7 linked regions of the Rattus norvegicus genome follow. The protein of the gene in region 4 interacts with the protein of the main gene of each other region in a pairwise test. Links are inferred from orthologs where the notes say so. Each region holds a gene or a part of one and is shown on either strand. Other genes may lie near its edges.

What was found.
Region 1: the proteins of Dvl3 (region 4) and Snx22 interact in binary tests that used the Homo sapiens proteins (3 or more experiments, as listed by UniProt). The two-hybrid records come from large-scale screens. The link is inferred for Rattus norvegicus from reciprocal best matches to the Homo sapiens genes DVL3 and SNX22.
Region 2: the proteins of Dvl3 (region 4) and Klhl12 interact in binary tests that used the Homo sapiens proteins (3 or more experiments, as listed by UniProt). The two-hybrid records come from large-scale screens. The link is inferred for Rattus norvegicus from reciprocal best matches to the Homo sapiens genes DVL3 and KLHL12.
Region 3: the proteins of Dvl3 (region 4) and Lnx1 interact in a two-hybrid assay, tested with the Homo sapiens proteins (2 studies listed by BioGRID and IntAct). The link is inferred for Rattus norvegicus from reciprocal best matches to the Homo sapiens genes DVL3 and LNX1.
Region 5: the proteins of Dvl3 (region 4) and Bahd1 interact in binary tests that used the Homo sapiens proteins (3 or more experiments, as listed by UniProt). The two-hybrid records come from large-scale screens. The link is inferred for Rattus norvegicus from reciprocal best matches to the Homo sapiens genes DVL3 and BAHD1.
Region 6: the proteins of Dvl3 (region 4) and Csnk1d interact in binary tests that used the Homo sapiens proteins (3 or more experiments, as listed by UniProt). The two-hybrid records come from large-scale screens. The link is inferred for Rattus norvegicus from reciprocal best matches to the Homo sapiens genes DVL3 and CSNK1D.
Region 7: the proteins of Dvl3 (region 4) and Tnfaip8l1 interact in binary tests that used the Homo sapiens proteins (3 or more experiments, as listed by UniProt). The two-hybrid records come from large-scale screens. The link is inferred for Rattus norvegicus from reciprocal best matches to the Homo sapiens genes DVL3 and TNFAIP8L1.

Annotation. Positions count from the first base shown.
Region 1 is NC_086026.1:75,505,028-75,509,471, forward strand, and holds Snx22 (sorting nexin-22), read right to left. Parts: upstream 2,913-4,444; 5' UTR 2,855-2,912; coding exon 2,780-2,854; coding exon of another isoform or gene 2,680-2,779; intron 2,433-2,679; coding exon 2,349-2,432; intron 1,977-2,348; coding exon 1,872-1,976; intron 1,296-1,871; coding exon 1,201-1,295; intron 890-1,200; coding exon 857-889; intron 699-856; coding exon 631-698; intron 350-630; coding exon 225-349; 3' UTR 32-224; downstream 1-31. UniProt on the Homo sapiens protein: May be involved in several stages of intracellular trafficking. Interacts with membranes containing phosphatidylinositol 3-phosphate (PtdIns(3P)).
Region 2 is NC_086031.1:48,453,848-48,458,185, reverse strand, and holds the start of Klhl12 (kelch-like protein 12), read right to left. Parts: upstream 2,922-4,338; 5' UTR 2,921-2,921; coding exon of another isoform or gene 2,915-2,920; coding exon 2,720-2,914; coding exon of another isoform or gene 2,699-2,719; intron 670-2,698; exon of another isoform or gene 612-669; intron 1-611. UniProt on the Homo sapiens protein: Substrate-specific adapter of a BCR (BTB-CUL3-RBX1) E3 ubiquitin ligase complex that acts as a negative regulator of Wnt signaling pathway and ER-Golgi transport.
Region 3 is NC_086032.1:33,867,263-33,871,439, forward strand, and holds the start of Lnx1 (E3 ubiquitin-protein ligase LNX), read left to right. Parts: upstream 1-1,308; 5' UTR 1,309-1,413; intron 1,414-4,177.
Region 4 is NC_086029.1:93,876,836-93,880,514, reverse strand, and holds part of Dvl3 (segment polarity protein dishevelled homolog DVL-3), read left to right. Parts: intron 1-139; coding exon 140-261; intron 262-381; coding exon 382-491; intron 492-685; coding exon 686-821; intron 822-1,092; coding exon 1,093-1,186; intron 1,187-1,396; coding exon 1,397-1,466; intron 1,467-2,244; coding exon 2,245-2,384; intron 2,385-2,479; coding exon 2,480-2,556; intron 2,557-2,661; coding exon 2,662-2,729; intron 2,730-2,857; coding exon 2,858-3,007; intron 3,008-3,508; coding exon 3,509-3,640; intron 3,641-3,679. UniProt on the Homo sapiens protein: Involved in the signal transduction pathway mediated by multiple Wnt genes.
Region 5 is NC_086021.1:126,345,228-126,349,380, reverse strand, and holds the start of Bahd1 (bromo adjacent homology domain-containing 1 protein), read right to left. Parts: upstream 2,978-4,153; 5' UTR 2,661-2,977; exon of another isoform or gene 2,579-2,660; intron 2,573-2,578; exon of another isoform or gene 2,464-2,572; intron 2,417-2,463; exon of another isoform or gene 2,374-2,416; intron 1-2,373.
Region 6 is NC_086028.1:106,734,175-106,737,853, forward strand, and holds part of Csnk1d (casein kinase I isoform delta), read right to left. Parts: exon of another isoform or gene 2,413-3,679; coding exon 2,264-2,412; exon of another isoform or gene 1,418-2,263; coding exon 1,189-1,417; exon of another isoform or gene 780-1,188; coding exon 609-779; exon of another isoform or gene 1-608. UniProt on the Homo sapiens protein: Essential serine/threonine-protein kinase that regulates diverse cellular growth and survival processes including Wnt signaling, DNA repair and circadian rhythms. It can phosphorylate a large number of proteins.
Region 7 is NC_086027.1:1,082,292-1,085,970, reverse strand, and holds part of Tnfaip8l1 (tumor necrosis factor alpha-induced protein 8-like protein 1), read right to left. Parts: intron 3,073-3,679; exon of another isoform or gene 3,071-3,072; 5' UTR 2,971-3,070; intron 1,760-2,970; 5' UTR 1,755-1,759; coding exon 1,194-1,754; 3' UTR 1-1,193. UniProt on the Homo sapiens protein: Acts as a negative regulator of mTOR activity.

The sequences.
Region 1 (4,444 bases), on a different chromosome or scaffold from region 4:
CTGGGCTAGAAAATACACCTGAATCTCCTCAGCCTAAAAGTCTTGAGTTCTACCAGCTACAGCTGTCAGTGCAAACCAAGTTCAGAGCTTTGAGTGGGGATGGGCACGACTGAGCCTCAGCAAGTTACACCTGAATCTAGTCCAAGGGAAGACCCAGTTTCCTATAGGAGTCCTAGGACTGAGGCACATAACTGTCCTGAAAGGTGGCCCAAAGCCTGAGCTTGTCAGGGCATTGGTGATGGAGCAGGATGACAGTTAGCCTCCGGCTGGGCTGCTGCCGGGCTGGTGCTGGTGCCGAAGCCATAGAGACCCTGGAGTACACCATCCACCACCACTTCCGGGAGAGGTGCTGTGGGAGAGAAAGTGAAGAAGGGGCTAGCCTGGCCTTGAGCCTACAGCACTGAGCTGCCCACAGGCCCAGCTGTCTACGAGAAAAGAGGCTTTCCCTCATCCACATCTGTTCATACTAGCTTTTGGAGACTCCCCGGGGGAACAGAGACCTGGTGAAGCAACTGTATTGCACTGGTTTCTATGAAGTTACAAAGCAGGCTGCCACTTACAGGAGCAGCAGGTGGTAACCCTCAGAGGACAGTAGGCACGGGTGCTGACGGGAACTTAGATCAGTCTCACCTGGGGAAGGGGTGTGAATGTAGGGATCCAGGCAGAAGCCAATGACCGGCCGGTGGTGCAGCTGTGAGCTGTGAGAAGATTGGTTAGTGAGAGTAGAGGCACGAAGACCAAAATCAGCAGGGACCCGAAAAGGAAAAGTAAGGGGCTAGAAAACAGGCTGCTGGCCTGCCTCCTAGCACGTAACCACCAGGGGTCAGCAGGCCTTTAAGGTAGGACTTTGCCTTGCCTGGTGTCACTAGGCAGGAATTCCCCCAGGGTGCTGAAAAGAAAAGAAACACTAAGTAGCTGGAGGATACCCAGGGGAGGTGAGGAGCTGGTGGAGACAGCAGCCCAGGGGACTATTCTGTAACAAGCCCAGTTCCGGAGGTGGAGGCAAGGCTGTTGGAACTAACCAAAGCTGTCCACCAAAACCCAGCCTTGCTCCAAGTCTAGAAAGGTGAGGAGGGAGGTGGTGTATCAGAACCAGGCCAGGGCCCAGTACATTTGAAAACCTTCAGGTTCTGTTTACACCTCTTTGTGGCTGAGGGTGGGCTGAGGGCCCTTGCCACCTCTCCACAGAGCTATCCTTACCTCCAGCTGCTGGCCTTGGAGTCTGTAGGGAAATGTCTAAGTCTCAAGAATTCCAGTAACTCCTTGGGCACATCTTGATTCAGGTACAGGACGCCCTAGAGAAGACGAAGTCTTCAGTCAGATCCAGTATTAATTGCACAACCCATTGCAAAAATTTTGAGGACATTGGTTTCAAAATGATTTAAGAATTTCAAGGCAGTAGGAACAAGTATTAGACCGAACTCAGAGCCATTCTAAGGAATGGCCCAGTATGGACTGCAAAGACTGGCCCCACGATGTGGGCAGCAACGGCGGTTGCCACTGTTAGAGGGATGAGTCCATACATACCTCATTAAGAAAACAGGTTCTTGGGGCTGGGGATTTAGCTCAGTGGTAGAGCGCTTACCTAGGAAGCGCGAGGCCCTGGGTTCGGTCCCCAGCTCCGAAAAAAAGAACCAAAAAAAAAAAAAAAGAAAAAGAAAACAGGTTCTTAGCCTAGGAGTGAAGAATCTACTTGGATTATTCAAAACTTTGAGTGATCCAGATAGAAAAGTTTGTACTCGTTTGGAAAAACAGAGCCCGAGATACTGAATAACAGCCCAAAGTTGTGGACCTCAACACACTCCCACATCTCTAACTGGGTCACCGATGGTCCCTCAGGCTAGGGGCAACCAAGTGTGCCCAGTGCACACCTGGATGTAGGTCTCCAAGCCCTGCCGGCGCTGTTCCAGTCCTCTGGTCCTCCAGTTGGGCAGGCGTTTTGAGGGAAAGTCAGGCACTTTGTACCGTTTCTTGATCTGTAGTACATCAGTCACTGAGGTGAGATCCCAGCATTCAAGCCCATTGCACCTAGCTGAGGACTTTCTCCCGTCCTCTATGTCTTTAAGCTTCAACTTGGGACAGCTGGCAAGAGGTGGTTGGGACAGAAGTGACAAGCCAGAGTGTGGAAAGGACGCACCCGGACAAGGTCAGTCTGAGCTGGGATCTAGCCATTGCGTCCTCCCCGCGAGGGGCCCTGCAGCCCTGGGTAGTCGCCTGTGATCTGCACCCTCCCGGGGACTTGGACAGTAATGGGGGTGGCCAACCAGAAGCTGGGATCAGAGTTCTGTCGAATGCCACCTAGGGACCTGGCCTGGACCCAGATCGGTGGGTAGTCCGCGACATCTCACCCGCTTGTGTAGAGCATGGAACTCGCTGTAGCGCCGCGGCACCGTGTGTCTGCGTCCGCTGTACAGCACCTCTACTTGGAACACCTGGCGGGCGGAGAAGTGCGGGCAGCAGGTCCAAAGGATGCAGTAGGACCCGCGCCGCGAGACGCGCCCAATTTCTGGTGTTTGAAAGGCACAAAGCCGACCTGGCGTGCCACCGCTCAGGGAAACCCCTTCCGAACCCCACTCACACCTGAAAGAAAAGGCTGACGGGCCCTCCCCTCTGCTCCACGGATCCCTCAAGAGCCCAGACCATCGTCCAAGGGACTGGCAAAGCCAAGTAACCCCGAACCTTTGCAACGAATGTCCTAGCCCTGAATTCTGGGTCCCTTTTGCGCTGGTCGCGAGGATATTCGGGAGAGCCCCGCACGTACTCTTCGTCCATTGCTCACCATGTGGCCTTTCTCTGGACTCTGCCTGGGCCCTTCGGCCTCGGGCCCCACCGAGGGGATGTGAACTTCCAGCATCCGCGCCCCAACCCGGCCGCAGCCTCTCCTGGATCGAGCGCTAGGGTACCCGAACTCCCTAGAGCAGCCAGGCAGCCCTATGAGGCCGACCGGCCCTCGGGCTCCAGGCCCTGCCCCCGGGCCGCAGGCCCCGCCCCACTCTGGATATTTCAGCTCTAGGCTCCACCCTCTGATCCGGGACCCCGCCCTCGCCACGCCCAGGGTGTTCCCTGCAGCTCTAAAGTCCTGAAGCGGGAAGATAACACCGCCCGGGTCGCCAGGCAAAGGAAGGAACCCTCAGCAGGGTCATCCATTTGTCAAATATTTCCCTAAAGTCCACTGCCTGCCAAGTAGGCAGCCGAGCTAAGTTTTTAGCTGGTCTTTGTTTGGTGCCCTGCATGCTAAGGTGCTAGATGAATAGGCACAGGTGGGTCCAGGCCTGGGCTTCCGCTAGGACCACCCTTGTTCTCTTTCATGTCGTCCGTGGTAGCACCACCTGGAGACTCCAACTGAGGCAGTGCCAGGGTGAGGCTGGGATCCGTTTTAGCTTTGCCGAGCACCTACAGACCATTTGTTTATTCCATCCATCTGTCCACCTGTCCACCTTTCCATCCTTCCCACCTTAACATCTGCTCCAAGTTAGTGTGGGGGGAAGAGGCAGTTTAAAAAACCCAGGCTTGAGGGGTTGGGGATTTAGCTCAGTGGTTAGAGTGCTTGCCTAGGAAGCGCAAGGCCCTGGGTTCGGTCCCCAGCTCCGAAAAAAAAAGAACCAAAAAAAAAAAAAAAAAAACCAGGCTTGGGACTGGAGAGATGGCTCGGTGGTTAAGAGCACTAACTGTTCTTCCAGAGGTCCTGAGTTCAATTCCCAGCAACAGATGGTGGCTCACAACCATCTGTAACAGAATCCATCAATGCCCTCTTCTGGTGTGTCTGAAGAGAGCAACAGTGTACTCACGTAAAATAAATAAATCTTTAAAAACAAACAAAGAAACAAACAAACAAAAAACCCCAGGCTCAGCTTTGAAAGTCACATGGCCTGGATGTGAAGAACAGTGTGGGCTGTGGGCTTTCTGACATCTGTAAAACAGGTAGCAGTTACGTCTAAAAACCGAGTGAAGCTGGACAGCACCGGCCTGTGGTTCCACGTAATTATGAGGCTGAGGCAAGAGAATTGTTTGAAACCAGGAGTTCAAAGTCAACTTGAGCAACTCGGCCTCAGCCTCAGGTAGTGGCTTCCTGATGGGCTTGTTCTGCCGGGATGGATGGGTGGTGACAGACAGATGATAAGAAGTCGGTAAGGAAGAGTTCGGAGAAGAGGAACTTAGGGAGTCATGGCAGTGGCATGCACGGCCGTCCTCACATATCCTGCTGGTCTTTTTAGAGTGTAGTAGGATTTTTGGTTGGGTTATTGTGGGTTTGGTTTTTCTAGATAAGTAGAAAGACTTTCTTTGTGTAGCCCTTGCTGTCCTAAAACTTCATCTCTAAAACCAGGCTGGCCTCTAACTCAGAAATCTGCCTGCCTCTGCCCCCCAAGTAGTGGGATTAAAGGTTTGTGCCTGCCCAGCTGTAATAAGATTTCAATAAAGAACTATCACTTCATGTGTAAAAACA
Region 2 (4,338 bases), on a different chromosome or scaffold from region 4:
AACTTGAGGACAGCCTGGCCTACAAAGGGAGTCCAGGACAGCCAGGGCTCTGTTATACAGAGAAACTCTGTTTCCGAAAACAAAAATAACAACAAAAATATCACACTCTAGCCAGGCATTGGTGGCACACACCTTTAATTCCAGCATTCTGGAGGCGGAGGCAGAGGCAGGTGGATTTCTGAGGTCAAGGCTAGCCTGGTCTACAGGGGGAGGTCTACAACAGGCGCAGAAAAGCCCTGTTTAGAAAAGGAAAGAAGGAAAGAAGGAAAGAAAGAAGAGTCATGTATGAGAAGAAATGAGTTTTTTTCCTCCAAGATTCCAGAAATTCCCCAGTGTTGAAAAAACAATGTAGACAGCCTTTCTCCAAGACAGGAGACAGCCTGACAGCAGACAGGACACACGCTGCTTTAGCAGGACTGTGTGAGCAGCAGTCTTAGTCCACTTCATGCTCAGCACTGGTCAACACTCCCTACCCAGCTAAATGGCTATGTTTTTGGGGCAGACATCATAAAGGGGAGTACAAGCTAGAGATCTGTGGTACCAGCCTTATGGATGAACATGGGAGTTAAGGATTATTTTTTACAGTCATATGCTATAGTGGCAGAGCCTACCTCTCTGTGGTGCTCTAAGCAATGTGACCTTGGCAAGGCATTTGTTGAGACCTTTCATCTGTAAAATGAAATGGCATATTTACCCCTTGGGTAAATGACAACATGGCAATGTGACTGGGCCCATAAATATAGCTGTTATTATCACGACACTCCCTCTCTTATCTGGCTCCAGCAACTACTTCTTCAGTACATTGACAGGGACTTTTTTTAAAATTTTTACCTTATGTGCAATGGTGTTTTGTCTGCATGTATCTCTGTGTGAGGGTGTCAGATCTCTTGGAACTAAAGTTAGACAGTTGTGAACCATAATGTGGGTGCTGGGAATGGAACCCCGATCCTCTGGAAGAACAGCCAGTGCTCTTAACCACTGAGCCACCTCTGCAGCCTCACAGTGATGGGCACTACCTAAAGAAAACACTGGTGCTTAGAGATACTTTTTAAAGAGTCTTATCAAAGCCAGGCACGATGGCTCACACCCATAGTCTCTGTACTGGAGGCGGAGAGATGAAGTATTTCAGGCTAAGATTCTTTCTCAAAAACAGATGCACAGGGGCTGGGGATTTAGCTCAGTGGTAGAGCGCTTACCTAGGAAGCGCAAGGCCCTGGGTTCGGTCCCCAGCTCCAAAAAAAAAAAAAAAAAAAAAACAGATGCACATATACGCAAACCACAGGCTTGGAGAGACTGGTCAAGCATTTGTAACACCCACGTCAGGTGACTCACAACCATTGGAATTCTAGCTCTGGGGCATCTGGTGCCCTATGGACTCCACGGGCAACTCCTTGAATACGATGGACATAAAATCCATGCAGCACATACACGGAACTCTTTTTAAATCTTACAAACAAACAAAAAGCCAGCATGCTGAAATAATTCAGATATATGTCGAAGTTTAAATACCCAATACTTATTCATATGCCTCAAACCTAAAATACTTACAAAGACTAGTTTAAATAGTTTTACTTTTTAGAAGCTTTAAAGCCAGGAGGTAGTGGTGTAGCCCTTTAATCTCAGCACCTGGGAGGGAGAGGCAGTCGGATCTGTGGGTTCAAAGCTGGCCTGGTCTACAGGGTGAGTTCCAGGACAGCTCTGCTGTCTACACACACACACACACACACACACACACACACACACACCCCAAGTTGGTTCCACACACCCCAAGTTGGTTCCTTCCTTCCCCCTATCTGGTCCATGAGGTTTGATGGAAAGCATCTTTACTTGCTGAACCATCTTGCTGGCCCTTTTTTTTAAAAAGTAATTTTGGTTTTGGATACAATGTTTCCTATAGCCCCAAATAGCCTAAAACTCTGTACAGAGGCAAGGATGGTCTTAACCTAGTGGCTTTGTGTATATTGGGCAAGCATTAGACCAGCTGAGCTGCATCCTCTGCCCTTGTTTTCGGGAGACATGGTCTCACCGTGAGTTCAAGGCCGGCCCCATGGTGAGAAACCCCTGATCCTGTTTCTGCCCCCCAATTGCTGGCATTACAGACATGTCTACCACATCAAGCTAAGTCAATACTGCACAGTCACTCATTAAACCCCATCTTCCCCTCATCTGAAGTCATCCTGAAATCTGCACCAGTAGCATAAATACTCATTTTCTACAATCATTGATGATTTAAAGCAGAAAGCCAACACATGTCTTACTCAGAACCTACCTATTAACTAACACATTACATAAGTTCACTGGTTTACCAGACTATTTTTTTTCATTGTTGAATGCTTTTATATGGGTGTTATTCTGTAGCTCAGAATGGCCTCAAATTTATGGCCATCTTCCTGCTGTCAGGACCTTAAGTGTGAGCCACTATATCTGGTTTCAGATTTATATTTTATTTATTGAGCACTCGTCTGGAAGTTCTGACACTCCTATACTTTTGACCAAAGAATGGTGTGTTGGAAACATCCCCTTTGATTGAGCAGCCCCTTACACACACAGGACAGTGAAGAAAGAGCTGCCCAGACAGAACCCCAAGATTAACCCTGGTGACCACTTGGCTACCAATGTCATAGCTGGATCACCAACGCATGCTATTTTGTCCCTTGAAAGAGGAGGACTGCAAAGTTACAATGTGAGTTTGACTTACATAGCAAAGACTCGCATTTACCTCACTAGTGAACATGGCACAGAAATAATCGCTGCAGGCAGCCAGCACAATCCGGTGGGCAGGGAAGTCTTTCTGCTCCACTCTCAAGGTCACGTCACAGAGGGTATTGCTCTTCCTGAGGGAGTTCATTGAGTTGAGGATGGACTTGGCGTGAGTATTTGTCATTATGTCTTTAGGGGCCATAATGCCGCCCATCAAGCGCTAAGGAGAAAGAACAAAGAAGTCCCTTGGACAGTGCAGCTACAAGGGAAAAAAGGTCACAATGAAGAAGTGGGAAACCAAACACACAATTAGCTTTACAAATTAAGGAACTAAAAGGGCTTCCTTAACCGCAAACTTCCACAAATATAGAGAGAGCACTTTTGACCCTGGCACCACCACAATCTGGCCAACAACGACTCCAGTAAACATTACCTCATTCTTCCTCCAAATTCCACGTTCTATATCTTTGGATTCAACCAAGCAAAGCACAAAATATTAAGAACTAAAGAACTGATTTTGAACATGTATACAGGCGTTTATAATTTTCCCTAGAGAATACTACCTCAGCATTAGCACTGTTGTGATAAAAGCACCTTGGGAGGAAAGGGTCTATTTGCTTACATATCCTGAGTCACAGTCCAGTGAGAGGTGCAGAGGTGGGAACTAATATCCAGGAGGTAGGAGATGATGCAGGGTCAGTGTCAGTGCAGCTTACTGACGTGCTCCTCATGACTTGCTCAATTTCCTTTATTTCTTTCTACTTCCTTTGCTTTGCTTTTTGACTTTTTTTCTTTTTTTTTAGATAGGGTTTCTTTGTGTAGCCCTGGCTATCCTGGAACTCAATGTGTAGATCAGGCTGGCCTGGAACTCAGAGATCTGATTTCCTCTGCCTTCCAAGTGTGGGGATTAAAGTTTGCATCACCACCAATCAGTCAGCTCAGTCTACTTTCTTACAGAGGCCTCTAGCCCAGGAGTGGCAAAGTGAAAGAAGCCCTCCCCGGCCAATCACTGATTCAAAAAATGCCCTACCAGCTTGACTGCTTGCAGCCTGATCTTCTGTAGGCATCATCTTAATTAAGGCTCCCTCCTCTCAGAGGACCACAGCTTGTGTCATGCTGACATAGAACTAGCCAGCACAAATATAGTACAATAAGTTTACTGTTTTAGGCATAAGTAATCCAGAACTTGTCTTGAGGTACATGGGGTGTGCATGAGGTATACGCAAACACCATGCACCTAACTACATGAGTTCAGAGCCAGGTGCAGTGGTATGTTCCCTGCAATCCAAACACTCAGGAGAAAGAGGTAGATTGCTGCAAGCTGGAGCTCACCTTGGTCTACATAACATGTTCCAGGCCAGCCTGGGCTCCATAAAGACACTCTGGTGTCAAACAACAACAACGACAACGAATTAAACCAAAGAAGACCACCACACTCAGATTTTTGCTCTTTCATTTTTTTTTTTCTTTTTTTTCCGGAGCTGGGAACCGAACCCAGGGCCTTGTGGTTGCTAGGCAAGTGCTCTACCACTGAGCTAAATCCCCAACCCCTCAGATTTTGGTATCTATGGATTCCTGGAACCAATTCCTTCTGGGTGTCAGAGAATAACCAGAATTGCAAAGTTCACTTGTGTGCAT
Region 3 (4,177 bases), on a different chromosome or scaffold from region 4:
TTGCTTTACAAGGTACTGAGTGACCGACAGGGAGCCAGCTACCAATGTGGACACTCAGGGATGAGGTGTTTTTTTCTATTTCTTTCTTCAACTGCCCCACCCCCACCCCCCACCCCGGTCCAGCTCACAAACCACTGCTAAGTGGCAAGGTATTAGAACAGGTAAAGCTTACAGTTTTGAGATCAGAAGGGGGAAGGTGTTTTTCAGCAGGTGTTTTCTTCCTTAAGGGACAAAAGTGTGGCTGGACCAACCTAGGAGAGAGAACTCCCCAGTGTCCTCAGGTAGCACATTCCGGAGAGTGAATAAGTCTGCGAGGGAGGCTGGCTGCGGGCCACAGGCGCACAGCAATTCAACAGGCTGATGGGACAAGATGCCATAGGCCTTAACCAGCAGGCAGGAATCCTCTTAGCTGTCACTCAAGTGCCAGCTGAGTCCTGCCATTAGCCTCTCTTTCCTGCTGGAAAAGCTGAAGCAAGCGTGACTTATCCAGGGTCACACACCAAGCTTGGGACCAAAATAACTCTGACTCCTCTTCCCTAGCTCTCACAGCAGACAACAGCGCCTTAGTAAGGCGCTATCATTCTAACCTGAATCATTTAAAGTACCCCTAATTGCAGGCCTACTGTGGACTGTAACCACCAGGTGACAGACAGACCGAGAGGTAGGAATGACTGAAGTTTTACCAATGGCCAAATCTATTATTAATATAATACACTGGGGACTGCGAGGGAGTTTGGGAAATGATGCTGACAGGCATCGAACTTAGATTTTTAAGGCTTGTCATGTCACCTCCAGTTTTGTTATAATATTGGAACAGAAAAAAAAAAACACTAGGAACTCAAAGGGATGCGATTCAGAAAGGCATTAGGGGGGTAAATCCCAGATATAGCTAAGTCTTCTCAACCTTTTTCTTTTTTTGCACCTACAAAAATCCCTGTGTTTAAACTTCCCTTTTAATTCTGGTGTTGGCAGCTGTGTGGGCCTGTGAGAGCCCTCGGAAAGAATATCAGGCAGACGAAAAGGGCCTGGGAAACAGTCAGGCATACCCATTCAGATCTGTACACGGGGCTAGACACGTGCTCTGCTCAGGAAGGAAAGTAAATTCCGACCAGCAAATTGCTCTAACTGATTCATTTGTCCTCTGAGAGACGCCACCTACCTGCTCCAAGGTATTCAGGTAATTGACAGGGGGCGGGGCCTCCTGGGCTGTTTTAGTCCCTAAAGTCTCAGCCAGACTTCCGTGATGTCACAGATTTCCTGTTCTGAGCCAACCAATGCCCTCCTTCTTCCTCCAGCCACCTGTACACCGAAGTTGAGACCAGTCACAGCTCAGGCAGCCCTAGAAGCTTCTGGCACAGGGATGGAGGCGGGCTGGTGACTGCTGCTTTGAAAGCCCCAGACATCTTTGAACAGGTGAGCAGGAACTATTTTTTCCTCTCTTGGTTTTTAGACCCCTGACCCAGAAGGGATCTAAATGAGGAATCTGAATGAAAATTACAAAAGAAAAAAGAAAAAGAAAGAGAGAGAGAGAGAGAGAGAGAGAGAGAGAGCGAGCTCACTGAATGGCTCAGTCCAGAGTAACACTCTGAGAGTAAAGATGTCTGTAACAGTCTTATTTGTGACCAGCAGTGTTGTCTCGGCCAGATATTTAATCATTTTTGTTTCCTGATTACTAATCCAGCCTCTGCTTGTTGTGAAGTTGATTTGATTCTTTTTAAAACCCCAGAGAAAAGTGAGATGAGATGCTCTTTGAAAGTTAGTTCAAATGTGCAGACCAGTCCAGCCTGTTTTGTGTGTGTGTGTGTGTGTGTGTGGTGGGGGTGGGGGTGCTGGGGACACTCACAAAATTCAGATTGTCTTTTTTTTTTCTTGCCTTCTGCATTCATCTCATCTGAAAAGCTGTAATACTTCCCTAGGTTTTGTTGTTGTTTACAACAGAAAGTCAGTACTAAAGCTGATAAATTCTGGCTCCCTGTTTATAAGTTCTCTCTCTCTCTCTCTCTCTCTCTCTCTCTCTCTCTCTCTCTCTCTCAAAAGCCTTCAGTTTCCTTTACTTGTGGAAAACATTTAGCAGTCTGGATTAGAACTCTGTTTACCTACTTTCAGGCCCGACAGGCTGCCTGCTGACCTTTGGTTAAAGTAAAGATTACCCTTCAAGGCCACAAGAATGTAGCCCCAGGTCTGGGTTTGAAACTCTTCTGTTGTTTCTACCTTGCTCTTAATATAGTAAATATATGGAGGAGACTGTTCTGCCAGGACCTGACTATAAAAGTAATTGTACCTCAAGGACCCATATTCGTTTTTCTAATCCTGATCGTGTAACCTGTTCTCAATGGGCAGGCACCCCCACCAGCTAATATGATTAACAAGAGCAGAGGAATAAATCCCCAGTCCATCTCCTTATCAACTTATCTGGGAAACTCGGGGAGAGAAATAAATGAACGAGTCTTTTCATTTCATAGGCCTTCGTTAGTTGCATTAGTTAAGTTAGCAGATGGCTTTGTAAGGAAATCATCTACTAGGAGTTAAGCCCATATACAGCCCTCTAGAAGTTAAAAGAACCTGCCAACTGTCCAAGAGTGTATGAACGGAAACAACTAAAAAGTATCGCCCTTGAACGGCTGCTTCTTTCTTCCTGGTAAGCATCTGCCTCCTGCTTGTTGCCAGTTTCTTTCTGATTCTTGGGAAGCTCATAGTCTCTTCTCTAGTTGACCTTTGTGCCTTATATTGTCCTCTAAGCTCCTGTGTTTGCAGAGTAACTGTTGTTGATGCCTTAGTAACATTCTCGGTTGATTCAGAGGTTTGTGAGCAAAGTGAGAAAAAGATTCCTCATAGCCTGGAGTTTTGTAGGTGTAAATTTGTCCTTGATGTTCCAAACCTCTGCAAACTTTCACACACACCCCTCTTTTATACCTGGTTAATTAGTCATTTTTACAACAATGGACCTATGATTAAATAACAAACTATTTTGTCATTGTCTCTAACTGCTTAGAAAAATATTATATATAATATATATTATATATGTATATATATAAAATCCCCCCCCCAATTCAAGAAAGAGAAAAAAGGGGACAGAAACCAGAGTCCCAGTGTCTAGCATAGGGGTCGAGGCAGCTCGTTGGATAACGTGCATGTGTCCTTGAGAAGTTGCTGTGACATCTCCACTAATTTGGGTGTATACAAAGTGCTAAAGGAAACAATATGTATTTCCTTAGCAAATTACTGGACTTCTCTGAACCGCCATTCCTTTCTCAGTAGGACGAGAGATAAGTACCATGTGCTATAATGTGGTTCTCTGAGTATAGGTGAGCTTGGAGTCAGGGACAAATAAAAGACAAGTTCCTCTCTGCTGGAAGAAATTTCCTGGGAGCTTAGAGGACTTGTGTGAGCCCATGTAGCTCTCCTGTGGCTGCAATGGTTCAGGACCCGGCTCTTATTACTGTAATTAATTGTCAGTAATTAACCCCACTGCTAACAGTTTGGAGAAACACAACAGTCCAGAGGGAGGAGAATGAACGGGCTGTCATTCCCTGAGCCAGGCAGCGTGTGCCTGCCAGCCCCCTTGGCCCTTGGTGAAGCAAACTCTGGAGTGGTCTCTCTTCCTTCTTGTGATCTCTTGACACATCCACAAAGTGTGAGTTCTTAAAGGCTGTCAGGAGAGGTCATCGTTGTTTGGAGGGCAGGGAGCCCAGACTGTTTTAATCATGCTACTACCCTGAGTGGCCTTGGGTACTTGGTCCCCTCTAATCTTGTAGGTAAACATCTTCCACCTCAGACTCCATGAGCACTTGGCCAAGCCAGTGTGAGAGGTGACAGATAATTTGCAACCTGTACCATTCTGTGGAGGGGGAAGGCTCGTGGGTCCTTTGGATAAGATCCACACATTTAAGTAGAGATTTTTTTAAAGATTGATCTATTTATTATATATTAGCCCACAGCAGAAAAGGGCTTCAGATCTCATTACAGATGGTTGTGAGCTACCATATGGTTGCTGGGATTTGAACTCAGGACCTCTGGAAGAGCAGTCAGTGCTCTTAACCACTGAACCATCTCTCCAGCCCCCAAGTAGAATATGTTGAACCTGTCAGTGACCTTGAATCATTGCATCAGAGCAGATGTGGGCCCAGACCCACTGCCAGCTTCTTCTGGTCCCACCTTTTTCTCAAAGTGTAACACA
Region 4 (3,679 bases):
ACACGGCTGCTCAGCTGCCCTTGCATGGATGGCCCTTTCTTCTCTATTCTACTCTGACCAGTCTCTCATGCCCTGCTGGAAGCAACATCTTGCTTTTCCTTGGCACCGCTGTGACCATTCGTTTTTTTTTTTCTGGCAGCTGGTATCGGCCGAGGGCTCACACCCAGAGCCAGCCCCTTTCTGTGCTGACAACCCCTCAGAGCTGCCTCCTTCAATGGAACGCACAGGAGGCATCGGTGACTCTCGGCCCCCGTCCTTCCAGTAAGTGTGACTCGAAGGTGGGAACGGCCCATGGGGAAGGGACAGCTTAGTGCAAACCAGGGCTGGGAAAGGGAGCCCCTAGCCCTCTCTCTTCTCCACCAAGTCCTCTCTACCCTTTAGCCCTCATGCTAGTGGGGGCAGCCAGGAGAACTTGGACAATGACACAGAGACCGACTCCTTGGTATCTGCCCAACGAGAGCGGCCCAGACGGAGGGATGGCCCTGAGCACGGTGTGTATTCTCACTTCTGGCTCCTCCTGGTAGCTTCTAGCCAGCTCCCTGCCTCTTTACCCTGCTTCCCGAGTTCTGGGTATGCCTGGGTGCTGTTCAACCCCTGGCTTGCTCCCTTCACATCTTGCTTTCCTTATATCCCTTGTTCCCTGCATTGAGCCTTGTATGGACCCAGCTGCCCATCTCCCTCGCAGCAGCCCGCCTCAATGGAACCACAAAGGGCGAGCGGCGACGGGAGCCAGGTGGCTATGACAGTTCATCTACCCTCATGAGCAGCGAGCTGGAGACTACCAGTTTCTTTGATTCAGATGAGGATGACTCCACCAGCAGGTGGGACTTGACTTTCATAGGAGCAGGGATGGGAATGGGGGGATGGATGGGTGTGTGTGTATGTGTGTGTGTGTGTGTGTGTGTGTGTGTGTGTGTGTGAGAGAGAGAGAGAGAGAGAGAGAGAGAGAGAGAGACCCATAAGGAAGTTTGAACCCCGCTGATTCTTCACCTCTGGAGGGATGTGGCCATTGTGGTGGGATCAGGGCTCTCCTGTGCCTCTTATGAGGCAAGGATGGGCCAGCCTGGTGGGGAACGACTTTGGGCCCCACAGGTTCAGCAGCTCCACAGAACAGAGCAGTGCCTCACGCCTAATGAGAAGACACAAGCGGCGGCGACGGAAGCAGAAGGTCTCCCGGATTGAGCGGGTATGGGCTGTTGGATATTCAGGAGGATGAGCAGGAGGTTAGACTGTAAGTCCTTCCTAGGCAGGACCACAGCTTTCTTCCTCAGAGCCCTTCTGTTTGGTTCGGTGTTGGGGAGCTTAGTGGGTAAGGGTGGTGTGCTGAGGAAGAACCGGGTGGGAACCCTCCTCCCCACCCACTCCAAGCACTGCTCACAGCCACTGTCTCTTCCAGTCCTCCTCCTTCAGCAGCATCACAGACTCCACTATGTCTCTCAACATCATCACAGTGACTCTCAACATGGGTGAGTCTGGCGGCACTTCCAAATGCCTCTCAGTGGAAAAAGGGGTTCTGGGAAACGCAGCGTACGTTTTCTGGGGTTTGGGGTGGGTCTCAGTGGTATACTACAAGGCTCTGGGGGTTCCGTATCCAATACAGGAAGAAAAGATATGTTCCCTATTCTGAAGTTGCGCGTCTGTAAATACTGCGTGAGACATCATATAACCATTTCAGTAGTTCAGTGTCAGAGCTGTGACAGGTAAACAGAGAACGATGGGAGCAGAGCACGGCACCTGGGAGGCTTCCTGGGGGAGTGATTTCTTGCCATTACATACTTCCTTACTCTTTAAAAGGCTCAGCAGGTGGGCCTGCCACTCACCCTGATGCCTAGAGTTCAGACCCTAGAATCTATGTGAAAAGAGAGGCTGACTCCTACAAGTCGCCCTCCAACCTGCACACACACACACACACACAAAACAAATAGATAAAAATGAAATAAAAAAATGTAAAGGCAGATAATATGACCAAAAGAGCTGTAACTTGGGAACTTAAATCTGAGTTTACTTCCTGATGCTTTCTGTCTTAGAAAGGTCACTTAGGTCTTGCCTGTCTGTAAGAGGGTGTTCAGAGTCGCTGCCTCATAACCAGTAGGAAAATCGAAAGTGTGTCTATGTGTATACTGTACAGTAATGTTTGCCTGGTTGTGATGTTAATTATTGCCCCTTTCTGCCCTGTACTAACAAGGAGCTGGGAATTTGGGTAGGAACCCTGCCCTTCTCAAGGTGTTAAATTATTCCCTGCAGAAAAGTATAACTTCTTGGGCATCTCCATTGTGGGCCAGAGCAATGAGCGAGGTGATGGGGGCATCTACATTGGCTCCATCATGAAGGGTGGGGCAGTGGCGGCTGATGGACGCATTGAGCCGGGAGATATGCTGTTGCAGGTATCGTCTACTACCCTGGGAAAACCCTCAACCCCAGCTCCCCTGTCCATCTCCTGAGCACTCCCTGTTTTCTCACTCCTAGCCCTCTTTCTCAGGTAAATGAGATCAACTTCGAGAACATGAGTAATGATGACGCAGTCAGAGTGCTTCGGGAGATCGTGCACAAACCAGGGTATGAACAGCATGGGACTGGGGGAAGGTGGGCCAGGCACTTCTGGCAGGAGACTTGGTCTGGCCTGTGTGCATCCTGCCTTTATTAGGACAACCTTGCTTTCAGGCCCATCACTCTGACTGTAGCCAAGTGCTGGGACCCAAGTCCTCGTGGCTGCTTCACATTACCCCGGAGTAAGTAGACAAGGGATCATCCGTAAAGTTGGTGTTGGCTGTATAAACCATGCTCCTCTCTTCTCCTTACATGTTAGACACTGTAATAGGCAGGGTGGGCAGCCTGTGATGACCCATCTTCCCTGCAGGTGAGCCCATCCGTCCCATTGACCCTGCAGCCTGGGTCTCCCACACTGCAGCCATGACAGGAACCTTCCCTGCCTATGGCATGAGCCCCTCCTTAAGCACCATCACCTCCACCAGCTCCTCCATCACCAGCTCCATCCCCGACACAGAACGTGAGTATTCAAGTCTGTCCCTTGGGCCACCCAGCAGACGGGCCAGGTGGGAGGATTGGTGGAGGGACCCACTGTGCATCGGGGGGAGCCTTCGAGGGGACACCGTAGCTCTTCCCCAGAGGGCACGCAGAGCCTCACTGAACACTGTTTGCTTCTTAACATACCATGAGCACCCACGGAGCCTCAGTTTCCTCTCATACAATGGGGCTACTAGTATATGCTTCCCAGGTTCCTGTGGGGTTCGATGAGAGGTTCTAACTAGAGCCTTGGTACTGCGTGACATGAGGGAGCACCAGTTTACTGTCATCCCATGTGCATGTGCTTAGGCTCCTCTGTCACATGTCCTTGTGAAGACACTAATCATTCATTTTTACAGGAGGGGAGACTGTCCAAGGAGTTGGTGGTGGGCTTGTCATTGTTGAGTGGGAGAGCTGAGATGCCACTCCTGTTTTCCTAACTCCACAGTGCCTCTTTGTCTCACTGCTCTGCCCCTTCCCCCAGGCCTAGATGATTTCCACCTCTCCATCCACAGTGACATGGCGGCCATCGTAAAAGCCATGGCCTCCCCCGAGTCAGGGCTGGAGGTCCGAGACCGCATGTGGCTCAAGATTACCATTCCCAATGCTTTCATCGGTGAGAGCCTTACTGCAAGATGAAGGACAGGTTGTGGAG
Region 5 (4,153 bases), on a different chromosome or scaffold from region 4:
ATAGCCTTAGGGACACTGCCTAGGGTCAGGCTGCGGGGGGGGGGGGGGGGGGAGGCAAGCACGATTTCATGAGTAAGAAACTGACTGGTGAAAGGGGTGCTTTGGGAGAAAGATCTGGTAGCTGTGTACAGACTGGATCAGAAGAGCCAGAGGAAGCAAGAGGAAAATGACCCGGGGAACATGGCAACAGAAGGAAGGGAAAGACACTGAAAAGAAGAAACCAACGCCAGCAATGGTAGTGCACACCAGGAGGCAGAGAGAGGAGATTCCCTGCAAGTCCCAGGCTAGCCTCAGTTCTGGAGTGATGAGACATAGGAGAAAGCAAAGAGCAGAGGGACCGAAGAAATGCAGAGTGAAAACACATCTCTTTAATGGCTCAACTCCCCAGAGCCAGTCCTAAACATTCATCTGACTGACAAGTATCTCTTGCCAGGTTAAGCCCCCGTCACAGAGGGAAATGTTATTTTGGCAATTCCCACCTTCCAGCAGCCAAACCAGGTCACCCTTCTGACTGCCACCAAAAGAAATCTCGTACAGTACAACCCCAGCAAAAGAGATTCTCCAGCCTTCTCTGGATTTAGACATACAATTAAACTCTCTCAAACAAACTTCAGTCTCTTGTGTGAAGTAATACCCCCCTTTCCTCACAAGCCTCGACTCCACCCAAACTGGGGTCCAGACTCTCCTGGGGAGAGATGGGGTGCTCTGAATGAACTCCACCCCCTGCTGTTCCTGCTCCTTTGGCAGACAGCAGCTTCCTAAAGGTGGGCTTAGAGCCAAACACAGCCGAGTGCTGCTCTTGACCAGTCCCACTGGTGTGCCACTCCAACCCAGATTTTTCTCAGCAAAAGGCCATGTTCTCAGCTGTTATCAGCCTGAGTCTCCTCTCTTCCTGTTCCCAACCCAATCACATGAGGAGGGGCACGGGAGCTGAGTGGATTCTCACAAACGGATAAACAGCATACAGCCTAGAGCTGCTCACCGCTGGGGTTAGCAGTACTCTCACAGCTTAAGCCAGAGATTCCAAAGTGTCCTAGGACAGTGGTGTCCCCGAGAAATGTGGTCCCCCTGAGGCTTTTTCCTTTTTGGTAGAAGACTATGGAGGTGTAGAAGCTGGGGAGAAACGTGTCAGGTGGTACAAAAGAGAGCTGGAAACCTTATTTTATGTCATCATCAAATTTCTGCCTCAATTTATGGACTCAGCTTATCTTGTCCCTATGTGGGTACCTTCTTGCCTAAGGAAAACTGCTACAGCAATAGTGAAGGCATCGCCAAGCACAGTGGGTGTGTGTGTTGGGGGTGGGGTCCCTTAGTCCCAATCCAAGTAGCCGTCTGTGCTCTTAAGATTGCCGACAATGGGCCACTAGGAGACATCCCAGGTGGAGTTAAACCTCTATCGATAGGCAGACTTGCTGAAAGCCTCTCACTGGTAGCAGGCTCTGCTCGCCTCTGAGTCCACCAGCCCATTCGCCACCGGCCAGGGCACTCGGTGCGCACACCCCCCAACCCTGCCCCTCCGCCTTGGCTAAGTCGACCCCACTCTTCCCGGAGCCGCGAGGATATCTGCGGCTACAGCCCAGAGCCAGTGCCGCAGCTCCTCCCGGTGGACGCCCCGGCCCCCGCAGTCCCCAGGGCAGAGTCCGGCCCCGTGCCCGCCCCTTGGGGTGGGTGCCCCGGACTCGCTCCCCTCCCTGATACCACTACCTGCGCCCGCTTGGGCGCCGCCTTTGTCCGGCTCTTCACCGCCGAGCGGGCCCCTTGGGCCCGACCTGACCCGGCCCCCGGCCCCAGAGGAGAGGCGGCGGGGCTGGCAGGGCACAACCAGGCCGGGCCTGGAGCACCGGGTCCCGCTGTCACTTAGAGGCGGTCTGACAACTTCGATTCCCCCCGCCCTACCTCGGACTCGGCCGCCGCCCCGCACGGTCCCCACAGGGCCTCCCGCGGCCCACACTCGCTGTTCGAACCGGTCCCCTTCCGTCTTCGGCGCCTCCCTTCCTTCAGCCCGACCCGATCCGGTCCACACTACCCCTCGCCCTGACGCGGCCCCCATCCCCACCCCCCCTCCGGCAATTGCCGGTCAGCTCCCAACCCTGGAGGGCGCCCCCCACCCCGAGAGGGCGCTCCCGCGGCGACGCCCCCAGCAGCGGCCCCTAGCCTCGGGGACCACGATGGGGGAGGGGGCTTGGCGGGGGCCTTGCCGCCCGCGCACTCGGAGGCGAGCCGGCTCCGCCGCGGCGAGGAAGCACCCCGCGTCCTCCCGCCCTCCGTAGCCCGGGACGCCCGCGCCGCCGCCCCCTGGCCAAGCTGCCACCCTGCGGCCGCCACCCACCCCGCCCCCGGTCTGCGAGGCGGGCGCCCCCCGGGGGCTGTCACCTCGAGGCGCGCAGTGCTCCCCGATGGCGGGACCGCAGCGCCGGACCCGGGGGAGGGAGGCGGCGCGCGCGGGCGGGCAGGCAGCCGCACCTGCTTCTTGTCGTCCGTCCGTCCCTTCCCGGGGCTGGCGGGGGCGGCGGCGCGGCGCGCTCGGCGGGGCGCGCTGACGGGCGGCCGGTCCTCTCCCTTTTGCTAGTCCGCCTACCTAGCTCGTTCGCTCGCTCGCTCGCTCGCTCTCGCTCGTTCGTCCTCCCCTTCCCCCTCCTGGATCCCAGCTCCTAGCTCACCGGGACGAGCGGCGCGGACGGCGCGGCTTTGGGCGCCCGCAGGCCCTGACCGGGCTGGAATCCGGCGGCTGGAACCCCCCGGGGGCGCTCAATTCCCGGGCTCCACGCTGCTGCGTCAGCGCCTCCTCCTGGGGGCCAGGGCCGGGCGGGCGGAGCGGGGGCCGCGGTCGGGCGGGGCCGTCGGGGGGGGGCGGGCGCGCCTGGCCGGGGCGGGCAGACGGCTAGGGCCGGACGGGCGGGGCAGGCGGCCGGACGGGCGAGCAGCGGGGGCCGGGCTCCGGGATCCGCTACGCCGCTCGCGGTTCCCCCACAAACTCCCCGAGAGCGGAGCCTCCGCCGCCCTCCTTCCTGCTTCCTCGTCCCCAGCCAATCAGCGGCGCGCCCCTCGGCAAGCTCCGCCAATCAGCCGCCCCGCCCTGCGCTGGCCCCGCCAGCCAATCCGGCCCTCGGCTCCCCCTCCCGGTCTCCAACCAATCAGAATCGTGGGTCGGTCGTCCCGACGCAGGGGGCAGCACGAGGCGGCCGGGGGAGGCGGTGCGGGGAGTGGTGGGGCCTGGGGGGAGGGGTACGGTGCCAAGGGTGGTGGCGGGGGATGATTTTCTTTGCCGGCTTCTAGTATTTTCTCCTGGTCTTTGGAGCCTGAGCCAGTATCCCATGGTGACCTGACCCTGAAGCCCCAGCACCTCACTGCAGACCCCCACCCTGAAAAATCTTAGCGCGCCCCCGCCCTGACCATTACCCTTCTACATCTCTCTTCCCTCCTAACCTCTCCAGCACCCGCTACAGTAAACTGAGGGCCGAGGGGGCACCCCACCCTCCTCAGGCTGCTGCCCCCATGGCAAAGCTTCGGGAAGACCAACCGAAAAATTCAAGCAAGAACAACACCCCCTTTCCTCTGAAAGGGCCCCAGACTCGCGCGAAAGGGCCCCGACTGCTAAGAAGCCCCTCCCGCCCTTGCCTCATCTTTCCGACTTCCCTGCTTGCCACGTCTCCTTTCCTTCCTAGCAAGGTCGGTCCTGGCTCCGTAACCCCTCACCCGCATCTCTTTTTCCTCTTTCTGCCCTTCACCTACCGCCCCCCACCCCAGCTCCCAATTCGCCCTCTTTCAGAAGCCAAGTGTGGAACCCTCATCCATTTCCAGCTGACAGCACAGCCTGGTCTGTGAGTCCTTGACACCCACACACCCTCTACCACCACCGCGGGGAACATCAGAGCTCTCCGGGGGAGAGGGAAAGGGGCGGGCAGCCCAACAGGCGCGGCTGGACACACTCCTTCGCGTCCCCAAGCCTGGGTAGAACCAGTGCAGACACTTACCTAGCTTCCCCATAGTCACCTTATGCTGTGGCTCCGTCTCTCACACCCACAGACGTGCTTTTCCAAGCCTGAGCACGCTCTCGGGGTCAGCTGGGTGGGTGGGCAAAGCAGGCTGAGGTCATACGAAGGGGTGGGAAGTCCCTGGGAGGTGCGGGAAGGGGCCGTGTCCTGGACACCTT
Region 6 (3,679 bases), on a different chromosome or scaffold from region 4:
CTAGTCATATTTAGGAACTCAGGCCTTAGGGAGACTGCTTGGAAAATAAATTCAGCATGTAAGCAAAGGTACAGTTCAATGGTAGAATGTGTCAAGGCTTGCACAGCACGTGTGAGGCCCTGGATTCCATATCCTGCACCCTCCACATCCTCCAAAGGGTCAGACACCAGAGCAAAATTTAGACATTGAGGGCATTCTTATCCCAGGAGCAATTTCCCTCAACAGGAAAACTCCCTCGGAAATGGCTCTAGGAGGTGAGGGTAAAGATGGTCAGTTTTAGATGTCCTTAGGCCTCCCACTACTGTGTTCCTTCCCCAGTCATGGGGGTCATTTCCCAAGGCTCAGTCCTGCCTCATTCCAGTCTCTTCTGGGCCCCACAGAATACCTTGACCAAAGTGCTTAGGGATTGGGAGTGGGATGACGTGGTGGTGGTGGCAGGTCCCACTGCCACCTTCATATAAGTGCCCATTTCATGTAACTCTTCTCAGAAGGTGAGCAAGTCTGACAGCACAGCCAGAGGCTCTCCATATGAGCATCTAGTCAGCACTGGGACAGGTGGCTGCTGGCATGCCCCAGCAAATTCTGCAGCAAGGATGTGAGGGACTCACAAGGATAGCCCTTGCACAGCACTTCAATTGGAGTGGACATCTTCTTCTCACTGATCCTCTCATACTTCTGCCTCTTGGTGGCGGCCTTCAGCCCCTGCCAGGGGAGAGAGCCCAGGTTGAAGTACATCAGCACGTACCCCAGAGACTCCAAGTCATCCCTTCGAGATTGTTCTGGAAGAAAAAGGGAACTATGTCAAGGATGGCATGTGTGTGTGTATAAAATCAATACCTGGCAAACAAAAAATTAGAAACTTCAAAAATAACAGAAAAATATACTTGCAGAATTATGTCACCAGAAGTTGTCCCTCACATTTGTTAAAGAAACCCCCCCTTAAGACTTCAGGGGAGCAACATCAACATCTTGAAGAACTGCTGGAGAAGCCAGCTTCTGCTACCCCACTGTACTTGGCAATACAGAGATTCTGGTTGCTCAATTCTGCTTGTCTGCTACCAAGGTTGGCTAACAGCTTCCACATCTCTCATCACCTAGGCTGCTACATAAGTTGGACTTTCCCTAATCTAAGGGATGGACATGCTAAAGGTACACAACGTCAAGTGATCCATCTCTGTCAGGGCTCACCAATGCCAAGGTGTGTGTTGATGGAGGCATAGCGTGCTGTCCCTGTGAGGTTCTTGTTCTCTCGATAGGGGATATGCTGGTGGGTGCGGGCATCCCGATACTTCTTGGCCAGCCCAAAGTCAATGATGTAGACCAGGTTGCCTTTCTTTCCCAGCCCCATGAGGAAGTTATCTGGTTTCACGTCTCGGTGGATAAAATTCTTCGAATGAATGTACTCAATACGACTTATCTACAGAGAAACAAAGGTAAGACTGAATCTCATAGTGGTTCATGCTGGAAAAGGAGGCTGCCTGGCAGTGAGGCTCCCATTACACATTCTCTTCTCTACTTTCTGGAGAGCAGTGATTTCAGTTAAGGTAGTCTTCTCTCAAGGTATCCTCAACTCTCTGTCCCTCGACAGGCCCAGACATTTTTTTTCTCTTTAGTTCCCAGAGGAATAGGTAAGACAGCAAGCTGCTTGGTTATGGTTCACATCAGATGGACTTTGAATGAGTCATAAACAAGAATTTTCATGAAAACCATTCAAGTGTTGCTACCAAATGTGGACTCCCTGAGAGAACTGAAAGTCCATTCGATATGGATACAGGGAGGAGGGGGGAGAGAAGTTACTTTCTTTTTTTTTTTTTTTTCTTTTTCTTTTTCTTTTTCTTTTTTTTGAAGCTGGGGACCGAACCCAGGGCCTTGCGTTTGCTAGGCAAGCGCTCTACCACTGAGCTAAATCCCCAACCCCGTGAGAAGTTATTTTCTAATTCAATCATCTTGAGGCCAAGATTAAACAAATCCCCCTTTCTTTCTATGCACAAATGGATGTAATAATGGAGATATGGCAACCTAGTAATTTGTTTAGTTTTTTGAGATGGGGTTTCACTATGTAGCCCTTATGGGCCTAGAACTTGCTGTGTAGACTAGGCTGGCCACAAACTCATAAACATCTGTCTGCCTCTGCCTCCTGAGTGCTGGGATTGCAAGCCACCATTGCCAATGTAACCCAGTAATTTACTCTAGTAAGCCAGCAAGCACATGCCAAGTGCTTGCTACACTGCCTGAACACTTCAGGAAAAGGGGTATTGCTTACCATTTGGTCAGCAAGCAACAGAACAGTTTTGAGACTAAACTTCCTTGAACAGAAGTTGAATAGGTCTTCCAGGCTGGGTCCCAGTAGCTCCATCACCATGACATTGTAGTCCCCCTCAGCCCCACACCATCTGATGGTAGGGATGCCCACTGGAAAAGAAACCAAACACAGCACTTCAACCCATGCTACTGTATCATATCACTTCTATTCAACTCGACAGGTGTTTAGCAGATTATGTCTGTGGGTGTTCAAGGGGTTCAGACGATATTGGCAATGTCTGCCCTCGAGTGTGATGTCCACTTGTAATTAAGCTAGACACAGTTAGCACGTGACAAAGAGCAAGCTGACAGGAGTCAAACAAGCAGTGGCAGCAAGTGAGGTAGTTGATTTCATAACATCAGCATCCATGGAAAGAGAAAACATCAGGTAAGACAGGTCCAGAGAAGCCAGCCGGATGCCACAGTTGCACCAGTGAGGCTGGAATCAAATGCTGAGGAACTAAGGAGAAAGAACTGCCATGGCTTGTAGAAGAGAGAAAAAAAGCGTTTCCTTTTTCCAATATCGATGGGAGAAAAGCAAACACAATGACAACTTCTTGGAGAGTCATTCAGATTTTGAAAACACCAACTGGTAGGAGAGGGAATAAAAGAAAAAAAACAAAACAAACAAAAAACCAGGACAAATCCAACATTAAGAAACCAGTCAGGTGTGGTGATATGCTTATGAGGTAGAGCTCTAGGATCAGAATGTTCACACCTTGGGCTACATACTAAGACCCTGTCTAGAAGAAAACAGCAATCACGCCACCGAATAGCCCAGAACTCCAAATGAGGGAAGAACTGAAGGATGCCTTCAGATATTAGACCTGAAAGCAGTCAATTCTAAACACTCTCTACTTTTGAAGAATGGGACAAAGACCAAGTATTTTATCTAAGAGCATACACAACAGTCACAAAAAGATGGTCAGAAAAAAGCTGAGAGCACTTGAATACTGCTAGGAACAAGGATGCACAAAGCAGCTTTGCTCAAGTCAAAGAGCAAGCGCTACAGAGAAGCTTTATACGATGCCTTGTGCTCTCCTCTGCCTACCACCAGAGCATGAGGTCTAGGAAGCTCCACCTACTGCCACTGGCTTTTACCATACGCACTCCACTTTTGGTTCTGTCATGAGCCCAAGGCCTCTCTTTCCTTTCATGTAAAACATTGAGTGGAGCTTCAATGTGAGTTTAGATGTTTCCGGTGAGATCCTACCATTTGAATTTTTTTTCTTTTTCGTTTTCTTTCTTTTTTTTCGGAGCTGGGGACTGAACCCAGGGCCTTGAGCTTGCTAGGCAAGCGCTTTACCACTGAGCTAAATCCTCAACCCCCCCCCATTTGAAATTTTTTTTAAAAAGTTTCATTATCTCATATCATATA
Region 7 (3,679 bases), on a different chromosome or scaffold from region 4:
AGCCTACTTTCCAAGGGTAAAAGTTTTGTCTCAGTACCAATTGGGTTAACCAGTTATGGTGTCTCACATAACCACAGGCCCGCTCAGATAGTAGAGGCTGCTTCCACACACAGTCTCAGTTACAAACCCAGGCTACCATACAAAGAGGAAAGATGGATTTGTTTCCCAAATATGGAATTATAATTTAACACATACTTGTGTCTCCAGTGGCTTTACCCTGGTCTGAAGCTGGGAATGGGGTCCCCATGTTTGACAGCGAGTCCTGTCCTATCAGTGACAACTCCCAAGTGTCCACCTGGAATAGTGCCTCCTTGCTGAGTGGTTGGATCCCTCCATGTTTCCAAGTGCCAGAGCACCCGCCCCCATGTGGCTCTGTGTGGGCATGTCCACATGGAGATCAGAGGCCAACTTTCTGAAACTGGATTCTTCTCCTACTGCACAGGTTTTGGGAAAGCCAGTCAACAGGCTTGGCAGTGAGCACTCCTACAGGCTGAGCCATCTCACCAGCTCTATTTCTTTTCTTCAGTGCCAGGGTCCAGTCCCCTAACAGGATCTCAGATCCCAACACCAAAGTGTGCTTGGAGTCTCAAAACCACTGGGAAAAAGCCATGGCCCTGTCTAGCACCTGTCTGCTGGTACATTCGGTAGTAGCGTCACTCGTCAGTGCTCAGTGCCCTGCAGCATTGGCAGAGTGAACCCCCCTGGGCCAACCTATATGAAGACCTGTTGTAGCAGGCTGATACCTGTTCACTCTAGTCTGGTGCAAGAGTTTGAACTCCATTTTTTAAAGCAAGTCACCTTGGGAGGACCTGAGACTTAGGAAACAGTCATTTGGCAGTGGGAGGGATCAGAGGAGTACAATTCTTTTCTCCCAGTTCTCCACAACCTTATTTGAAAGACTGAGAATGCTCAGACAGTGGGTTGTTGGCACACACTTGTCGTCCAGCACTCTCGGAGGTGGGGGCAAGAGGCTCAGGAGGTCAAGGTCAGCCTTGGCTACATGGGGAGCTTGGTGTCAGCCTGGCTACATGAGACCTGTCTCAGAAGGAAGAGGAGGAGGAGGGGAGACGCAGGCAAAAGCAAATGGGCTACAGCAGGAGAAGCAGAGGAGACACTGCCTCGTGCACAGGCAGTTCTGTGTTCTGGGGGACCAGTCACCAGGGGAAGATAGGCTCCAGGTTGCTGACTCCAGGTCAGATGCCACCCTCATCCAACATCCTCCCAAGGCCATCACAGATGCGACACAGGTGGCTCCGGTAGGGCTCTACTGGACTGTACAGTGCGGCCAGGAAGTCGCCATTGGCAAAGTGACTGAAAATGTGATTGATGCGGCCGTGTGACTTGGCAGTGAGGTGCAGGCCAGTGGCCTGGTGCAACAGATCCCTGCATTCCAGCAGCCCGGTGGCCAGCACACACCGGTCAAAGGTGAAGTCTACCTGGTGAAAGCTGAGGACTGTCATGGCCAGGCTGTGCACCCGGCTCCGGAAACGCCGCAGCTGGGCTAGCGCGTTGCTGTCCAGCTGGTCTGCCCGAAGCAACACAGCCAGCTTCACGGCCACTTTCACCAGGTTCTTCACCACCCTCTGTGCCTCCTTCCGGCTGCGGGTAAACTCCTTAGTGGCCTGGTACAATTCATCCAAGATCTCACTGCTGGTGTCATCCACAAATACAGCCACCATGGCCTTGGAAGCCATCTTGCTGAGGACTTTCTTCTGGGCCTGCAGGACCAGGTTCTTTGTGCTGAAGGTGTCCATGGGCCCTGTCAGGATGACACAGTGCTCAGGTCAAAGGAATGAATCTGGACAGGACTTGGCACCATTCTGATTTCCCGGCAGCCAGCCCATGGTTTCCTAGCTGGGGAGTTGAGGCTTCAGATGGTTGCCATGGAGGAAGGAGCCAGGAAGTGGCCAAGAGGACAGGCAGGTCGGCTCCTGTGGAGCAGTCACCCCACTACCCAGTTCAAGCATTTTTAGAATTTTCCCAAATGACAGTACTAAAAACCACTGGCAATTCTCATGCCTCTTCCCTAATAAACTTCTGTAACCCCACAGAACTCTCTCTCCAAACCCCTGCTTCTTTCCTAGTAAACTCCTACATAACCTTCCAGTGCCCAAGGTCCCTGACTCTTCCCAGGACAGATTCATCGCTCAGCTCAGCCTGGGTATCTCCTCCTCTAGGAAACCATCTTAAGCTGACCTGCCGGGTACTTCCTCTGAGCCACACAGGGCTGCACAGCTGCAGGGTTGCAGGCCTGCAACCACCTCCCCCAGACCACAGAGGGACAGAGCAGGGCCTGGCCCCTCATCTGCTGTGTTCTTGGGGACCCAGAACCCTCTGGGAGTGAACAAACTTGGAAGAGCAGGATGGAGGGGACATGACCAGACTGGGCCCTTGGGTCTCAGTCTTGCCCCAGACGCTGGTCAGCTGTCCACTGCTCACCCTATCCTGATGGCCGGGGGCTGGGGGAGCAGCAATGCCCCCTTGCTTCAGACCACTTGCCCACTCCCAGAGTCCCCTACAATGCCTGTTTTTGTGTGAGCTCGAGCCCCGACCCCAGCCTCTCAGCCATCAGCTCCCTGACCTTAAGAGTTCAGGGCAGGCACAAGAAGGCTCTGTGTGTTTTCCTGCCCACAGCGCTCACCACCCCCACTGTCTGCCAGCCAGGGTCCACACACTACTGTTGACACAGGGCTACATGGCAGCTTGGCGCCTGCCACGTGAACTTATTTCGTTTCTTCGGCCAGTGCCATTTGCAACAAACAATGCCATCCAAGTGGCCCAGCTGGGAATGAATCCATAATGGTGGAATCTATCCCCTCAAAGTACACTGCACCACAGGGCCATACAGCAACAAAAGACAGTCTACCCCTGACCCCCAACACCACACCCCTACACTTGAGTCCTCCTCCCTCCTCCCTCCTCCCTAGTGTCTACGAATGGTGCTGAGTCTGAGGTGGGCAGAGCACTTGCCTGGTGTCGGTCCTCAGCTTTCAGAGATGACAGTAGGAGGGTCAGAAGTTCAAGGTCACAGCTGCATGGGGAGCTGGAGGTCAGCCTGAACTGCCCAACCCTCTCAAGAAAGGAAAGAGAAATAAGATGGAGCCTGAATGGGCCTCTCCAGCACCCTGGGGTTGTTTTTCAGTTGACGTTGAACACAGGGCTGCTAGCAGAGGAACAAAGTCTGATGTCCCCGTTTGACTCAGCGGCTGACTGTCTCTGGTCCTTGCTTTTCCCATAGACAAAGCTAAATCTGTTCTCTCTGGCTCAGAGGTGAAGCCGAGTGTGTGGAAGCAGGAAGAATGTCAGGGTGGCACAGCTGCAGTCCGTCATTCCCAGCTCCAAGTTGGCTGCCACCTGAGGCAGCCAGCTGCTGGCCTCTACTTCCTGTTCTGAAACCCATTGTTCTGACAAACTCCCCACTGGAGCTCTCCTTCCTGCATGACAGCCATGTGAGGCCTTCAGAACAGGGACTTTCCCAGGGAAAAAGTGCTGTGGCCTTGGTCCCTGCCAATTGAGTGTCACAGCACCCAAAGTCTGGTGCCAAAACAGTCTGCACTCCAGCTTCCAGAACTCAGCCCCAACGCTCAATTGCTCAGCTGCCCTAAGAGGCATTTATGGAGCACCAGCTGTGTACCAAACACAGAAATGACCAAAAGTGACTTTGTCTCTGACTTCCCAG